2 linked regions of the Oryctolagus cuniculus genome follow. The protein of the gene in region 1 purifies or fractionates together with the protein of each later gene. This does not show direct contact. Links are inferred from orthologs where the notes say so. Each region holds a gene or a part of one and is shown in the gene's direction. Other genes may lie near its edges.

Region 1 (3,801 bases):
GAGCCTCCTCCAGGTCTCCTATGAAGGTGCAGGGGCCCAAGGACTTGGGCCAACCTTTATTGCTTTCCCAAGCCATAGCAGAGAGCTGGTTCGGAAGAGGAGCAGCTGGGACTCGAACCTGTGTCCATATGGGATGTTGGCAAAGCAGGTGGTGGCTTTACCCACTACGCCACAGTGCCAGCCCTCCTAGTTTCCTACATGAAAATATTGAGGCTCAAACAGGTTAACTATTATACACAGGATTGCATGCTAAGCCACACAGGGAGCATAGAATGGAAATCCTTTTTCTTTTCTAGGACCCCACAGACATCAAATTGCTTATGTCAGTGGTTTGTATTTACTTACTTCTCAGAACCAGTATACTTCAGAAGCATATAACTGTCATTAAAATGTGTTTCTGAGTCACCTATGTGTTTATTGATGCTTTAAAATATGGAAACGTTACCATTCGAGTATTTACAAATGTAGATGCTACATTATTAGGTGTCTTCAACAAATGGGGTAATATCGTTCTTTTTTTCCAAAGATGTGAATGTTAATTTGTGTTATAAGAACCAGAAAGAAAGAATTCATGGTTTCTTGTGCCATTTTTATTTTTTCAGATTTTTCCACTTCTATAATTCCCCCATCTCTGTGATTATTTAAAGCTCTGACCATGGCTCAGAATCACTTTTGCTTTTCCCTCTCCCCTAATTCCGCTTCAGTACTTCAGCTCATTTGCTGCCGAGTCTTATGTGTGAGTTTGCCAGGTGAATCCAATTGCTGTGGAAAGGAAGGATGGTTAGGAAGTCAATGTGACGTTAAGGAGTCTTGCTAATCTGCTGTGTAAGCTGAATGGAGAGACAGAGAATTCTTTTCCTTGATGAATCGAGGAGGTACGTGTTTTGACCTCTGTGTGTTTCTATTTGGAGTGATTCCTTTAAGGTTGCAATTTAGTTAGCTACATGAATGTTGCACCTAATTATCTCTGAAACAGGTTAAACAAACCTCTGCTGTTCCTTGCTCAACTCTTGCAGCCAATAACTGCTGGAAGTGATTTAATGCAGCTGGAGAGTAACCCTCACAATCATTATAGCCTGCAAAGTGTGAAACAATTACATCGTATTTTTGTGATCTCTTTGGTCCAAGAACGTGCATTGGACCAGAGTTGAAAAAAAAAAAAAAAGCCTCTTCCTATGAAAGATCGCTGTGTAAGTAGGGTGAGTTTTGGGACAAACTAGTGCTGTTTATCCGAGGAGAGCTTATTTTGACGAGAATTCACTTTAAGTGTGGAAGGAAAAACTCTCTGCCTGCCCGGCATCTGATAGACCCTTGCTGAGCGAGAAGCGCAGATGTAGCTCATTTGGAGAAGACGAAGGAAGAGGAGAAAAAGGAATGGGGTGGTGTGAAGGAGTGGTCCTTCATGTTTCCGAACTCCTGCGGTTTTTCCTGATCTTTACACTCACCTTGGCCTGGGGCTCTCTTTAGGGAGCGCGTACCATGCCCTCGCCTCTCGTCCTGCGCCGCTGCCTTGCTGCCAGCGAGTTGTCCCCGTCGGTGGACTCGCGGCCGTGCAGCAGTCCTTCGGAGCTCCCCGGGAAGACGGGGAAGCTCTTCCTGGGGGCCACTCCTCCTCGGGCCCCTCGGCTGCCTCGCCGTCTGGCCTGGTGCTCCATCGACTGGGAGCAGGTGTGCTTGCTACGGAGGTTGGGAGCCGGAGGGTTTGGCTCTGTGTACAAGGCGACTTACCGTGGCGTCCCTGTGGCCATAAAGCAAGTGAACAGGTGCACCAAGAACCTACGAGCATCCCAGCGGAGTTTCTGGGCTGAGCTGAACATTGCAAGGCTACGCCATGACAACATCGTGCGAGTGGTGGCTGCCAGCACGCGCACGCCCGCAGGCTCTAACAGCCTAGGGACCATCATCATGGAGTTTGGCGGCGACGTCACATTGCACCAAGTCATCTACGGGGCTCCTGGCCTGGCTGCGGAGGAGTCGGAGGCGCCCCACCATGGCACTGGGGAGCAGTTAAGTTTGGGCAAGTGTCTGCAGTACTCCCTAGATGTCGTCAACGGTCTGCTTTTCCTTCACTCACAAAGCATTGTGCACCTGGACCTGAAGCCCGCGAACATTTTGATCAGCGAGCGAGATGTCTGTAAGATTGGTGATTTCGGTTGTTCGGAGAGGCTGGAAGATCAGAGGTGCTGTCCCCCTTACCACCTGGGAGGCACATACACGCACAGAGCCCCCGAGATCCTGAAAGGAGAGGCTGCCACGCCCAAGGCCGACATCTACTCTTTTGCCATCACGCTCTGGCAGATGGCCACCAAGGAGGTGCCCTACTCCGGGGAGCGTCAGTACGTGCTGTACGCAGTGGTGGCCTACAACCTCCGCCCGTCTCTCTGTGCGGCTGTCTTCAGGGACACTGTGCCCGGACAAAGGCTTGGGGACATCATTGAGAGCGGCTGGAGGGCCAGTGCTTTGCAGAGGCCCAGTGCGGACCGCCTGCTGGTGGACCTTAAATCCTTAACCACGGAGTTCACCTGACTCCCGACCCGTTTCAAGATAAGCTTTTGTCTTTATTTCTATCTACTTTTAAGGAAGTGGAGATGTAGAAGAAAACATATTCGTAGCATGGATTTTTTAAAAAAAAAAAATAAAGTTACTGCAAACTTGAGTCTCAAATGCCTTTTCTTTGACAAATGGCAAAAGCTACGTGTTTAGTGTTGTTGCTAACTTACCTCATACTTTATATAGTTTTCTCTCCATAGGTCCAGTGCTTATTTGAACTATTCCATATGTTCAAATTTGTTGATAAATAACATATATATTCCATATATTCAAATTTGTTATTGATAAAAATATTTTGTCTAAAACAGGATTCCATTGCAGAAATGCTACAATTTTCTGAAATTCACACCATATGGTCCATCTCTACCACCTACATCCAAACTATTAACAGATCACTTACAAATCAGGTTATATACCAGATCAGTAAAATATTTTTTTAAATGCTTTCTTTCTTAAATTCGAGGGATTGGGAGGATGAAAAAAGAGAGCGAGAGAGAATGCTCCCATCTGTTGATTCACTCCCCCCAAATGCCTGCACAAGGTAGTTGGGAGCTGGGAACTCAGTCCGGGCCTCCCAGTTACGTAAGTCATCTGCCTCCCAGGCTCTGCATTAGCGGAAAGCCAGAGTTGGGACCTGGGCTGGGAGTCTGAGCCAGATATGTGATGTGGGATTCAGGCATGTTACCTGGAGTCTTCACTGCTTCAGTAAATGCCCGCCCCAGTTAAAAGCTGTAAAAAAATTAATTTGTTCCTATTCCTCTCGAGAATGTATTTGTAATGACCTTCACACATAAAATCCACAGACTGAGGTAAAATTAGAACTTGTACATTGGAGCCGGCGCCGTGGCTCAATAGGCTAATCCTCCACCTTGCGGCGCCGGCACACCGGGTTCTAGTCCCGGTTGGGGCGCCGGATTCTGTCCCGGTTGCCCCTCTTCCAGGCCAGCTCTCTGCTATGGCCAGGGAGTGCAGTGGAGGATGGCCCAGGTGCTTGGGCCCTGCACCCCATGGGAGACCAGGAAAAGCACCTGGCTCCTGGCTCCTGCCAGGATCAGCGCGGTGCGCCGGCTGCAGCGGCGGCCATTGGAGGGTGAACCAACGGCAAAGGAAGACCTTTCTCTCTCTGTCTCTCTCTCTCACTGTCCACTCTGCCTGTCAAAAAAAAAAAAAAAAAAAAAAAAAAAAAAAAAAGAACTTGTACATTGCCATTAGTAGAAAACTTTTTGCTAAAACTTCTAAACAAAATCTCTT
Region 2 (3,596 bases), on another chromosome or scaffold:
GACCCAGGCACTTCAGCCATCATCTCCTGCCTGCCGGGATGTGCATTAGCGGGAAGCTGAATTGGAAGCAGAGCCAGAGCTCCTTAATCCCTGGGCCAGGTCCCAGCCCCACATCTTTTCTTCCTGTTGTAGTTGTGTTTCTCCTCTGAAATGACCAGGTTACCTGCCCCTCCCAGTGTGTGAAGCAGCTCTGCTAGCACTTTCAGCCCTCCACCCGCAAGAGGAAGCCCGTTCTCCCTTGTTTATCCTTCTGGATGACACCTTTTCCACGGAGAACGTTTCAGTATTTACATAGTAAATCTACCTTTTCCTTTCTAGTTGGAAAGGTCTTCCCTACTCTAATTTATAAAAATGACCTTGCTATGGGCATTTGGCACAGTAGTTAAGTCACCGCTTGGGACACCCACATCCCCTGTCAGGGTGCCTGGTGTGAACCCTGGCAACTCTGCGTCTAATCTAGTCTCCTGGGAGGCAGCAGGTGGTGGCCCAAGTACTTGGGTTCCTGCCTCCGACATAGAAGACCCGGACTGAGTTCCCAGCTCCTGGCTTTGTCTGACCTAGCCCTGGCTGTTGTGGGTGTTTGGGGAGTGAACCAGGAGGTTGATAATCTCTTTGTCTCTGTTGCTCTCTATGTCTCTCTTTCAAATAAAATTTAAATTTAAATTTAAAAAATTAACTCTGCTATATTTCTATAGTTTTATTTTTGAACAAGTTAATATAGTTGGTCTAGAATTAATTCTTGTTTATGATGTGCGGTCAGAATTTTAACTATGACTTCCTGCCCTGGCAGCCACTGCCTGGCCCCGCTCTGCACAGAGCTCAGCCTCTCCCCGGGGTTCACACCATCCGCAGTCCCCACCTCAGGGTTTCTGTTCACATCCGCATCCCGCGGTTTCAGTTTCAGTCCTTCCACTCTGTTTCTTTCCTCTGGGAGGAGAACTCCCTCGTGTTTTGTTTGTTTGAAGATTTATTTATTTATTTATTTATTTGAAAGAGTTACAGAGAGGCAGAGAGAGAGAGAGAGAGTTCTTCCATCCTCTGGTTCACTCCCCAAATGGCTGCCACAGCCGGAGCTGCACCGATCTGAAGCCAGGAGCTTCTTCCAGGTCTCCTACGCGGGTGCAGGGGCCCAAGGACCTGGGCATCTTCCACTGCTATCTCAGCCCATAGCAGGGAGCTGGATCGGAAGAGGAGCAGCCAGGACTCAAACTGGCACCTGTGGCATGAGAGGCCGGCACTGCAGGCGGCAGCTTTACCTGCTACGCCATAGCGCTGGCCTCTCATATTATTTTCGTTTTCTTTTTTTCCCCAAATATGCTTGGGAATTTTCTAAAAATTGCATTCAATGCAGAAAGTAACTACAGTAGTATTTTTTGATCAGTAGTATACAGTTATCTTGCGCCCATTTTTTCTTTTTTTAATATAGATATTTATTTTGTTTACTGGAAAACAAAGTTACAGAGAGAGGTAGAGACAGATCTTCCATTCACTGGCTCATTCCCCAAATGGCCACAATAGCCAGAGCTGAGCTGATTCGAAGCCAGGAGCTTCTTCCAAGTCTCCCATGTGGGTGCAGGGGCCCAAAGACTTGGGCCATCCTCCATTGCTTTCCCAAGCAGGCAGTCCAGCAGCTGAGACTCAAACCAGTGCCCATGTGGGATGCTGACACTGCAGGCTGGGGCTTTAACCCACTGCACCAAAACGCCGGTCCCTTGAGCCCATTTTTCCAATTGCTTTTCCCAATTCCCTCGGCCAGAGAGCTTCAGTACGCTGTTTAACTACAGAATTCCTTGTTGAAATTCCTACAAATGAGAAGGATTACCTTCAGCTTTGTTTGTTTTGTTTGTTTGTTTGTTTTGTTTTGTTTTGTTTTGTTTTTGTTCCTAGGCCCTGGGACTGGACAGTGCCAATGAGAAAGGCCTGTACAGGAGGGGTGAGGCCCAGCTACTCATGAATGAGTTTGAGTCAGCCAAGGGGGACTTTGAGAAAGTGCTGGAAGTCAACCCCCAGAACAAGGCCGCACGACTGCAGATCTCCACCTGCCAGCGCAAGGCCAAGGAGCACAACGAGCGGGACCGCAGGATCTACGCCAACATGTTCACCAAGTTTGCCGAGCAGGATGCCAAGGTGCGTGCAGGCCCCGCTGCCTGCCTCAGGGCACATGCAGGACAGGCCTCGCCCCCTCGATTGGTGCCCCTGGAAGGTTAAGGGTAGGAGACAGAGACAGGTAGACAGCGGCGCGAGAGGCCCAGGAGTAGGGAAGATCACTTCCATCGTGGTGACCCAAAACTGGTTTGCAGCCGGAGGCTGAGGTGGCGCCACATCGGTTGGGAGGCCCTGCCCCGTCCACACAGCACGCAGAGGACACACCTTCCCTGGAGATGCACTAAAGCATATGCTGTTTACAAAGTCATTAACCCATCAGGTTTTTTTTTTTCCCTCAAATGATACTGCTTCCTTGTTGAGACTTGGGGAAGGGTTACAGGAGCCTTGCCATGCCTCTTCCCTGGTGGGCGAGCGTGACAGGAGACGGGTGTCTGCAGGGGCCTCGGGCCCCTTCCCCTGAGTGCGTCCTCCACTCTGGAACCCCCACTGGCTCATGGACTTAAGTGCCCAGCAGTGGTCCCAGTTGGCAGGCTAGTCACGTCAATAAGCTTACTTTTTACATTTCTGTCATCTTAGTGCACACGCCCGTCCATCTGCTAGTTCACTCCCCAGCTGTCCACAAGGGCCAGGGCTGGGAACTCAGTTCAGGGTCTCCCAGCTGGGCAGCAGGGACCCAATCCCTTGACTCATCACCGCTGCCTCCCAGGTTCTGCATTCGCAGGAAGCTGGAGTCGGGAGCTCCAGGCGGATATTGAACCGAGCCCGTCCAGGGTGGGCTGCGGGCTAGCCCAAGAAGAGCACGCCCCCCGCCCCCGGGTAGCCGTGGGGAGCACAGCCCTGACCTCCCTACGGGGCGGCCCTGTCAGGTCAGCGCTGTGCACTCTGGCCTTGGGCCTGGTGAGAGCCCATCTCCCTTCCTTTGGCTCTAACCCTCTTGACCTCTGACTTCTTCCTCAGGAAGAGGCCAGTAAAGCAATGGGCAAGAAGACGTCGCAAGGGGTCCCCGGCGAAAAACGCACCGAAAGCCAAGCGATGGAAGAAGAGAAGCCTGCAGGCCACGTATGACGCCACGCCACGGAGGGACCAGAGTCCCCCCGAACTCGGCCCCTCCTCGTGGGCTTTCACCCAACTCAGGACTAAACAGTGTTTAATGTAAACTTTTGCTCTAGTCTTTGTGATTCGGAAGCGTATGGAAAACCGGTAGCTTCCCAAGAAACAGCCACCCTGCTGCTGCCCAGTGGGCCCCTGGAGAGGGTGGTGTGGGACCACTCCAGGTGGACAGAACAGCAGTGCCCACTGGGGCGGAGACTGAGCCAGCAGCTTAAGTCCAGTTCATTTCAGTGGATGTCAGTTCTGCGTACCCCACGTAAGGTCCCCTTGTGATAATCCTAACCATTTGGAGCTGTCTGTTCGGTTTTACATCTGAACTCTACTAGCACTGCGGAGACCTTTTAAAAACACTCACTCACTGAATTTCTCCCTTCCTCCCC

What was found. Proteins that work in one complex are often made in the same cells at the same time.
Region 2: the proteins of MOS (region 1) and FKBP5 purify together in Homo sapiens (affinity purification with mass spectrometry; 3 studies listed by BioGRID and IntAct, counting the BioPlex papers as one, with this or other methods). This does not show direct contact. The link is inferred for Oryctolagus cuniculus from reciprocal best matches to the Homo sapiens genes MOS and FKBP5.

The regions. Positions count from the first base shown.
Region 1 is NC_091437.1:81,357,927-81,361,727, reverse strand, and holds MOS (proto-oncogene serine/threonine-protein kinase mos), read left to right. Parts: upstream 1-1,479; coding exon 1,480-2,526; 3' UTR 2,527-2,531; downstream 2,532-3,801.
Region 2 is NC_091436.1:133,897,493-133,901,088, forward strand, and holds part of FKBP5 (peptidyl-prolyl cis-trans isomerase FKBP5), read left to right. Parts: intron 1-1,887; coding exon 1,888-2,127; intron 2,128-3,063; coding exon 3,064-3,171; 3' UTR 3,172-3,596. UniProt on the Homo sapiens protein: Immunophilin protein with PPIase and co-chaperone activities. Component of unligated steroid receptors heterocomplexes through interaction with heat-shock protein 90 (HSP90).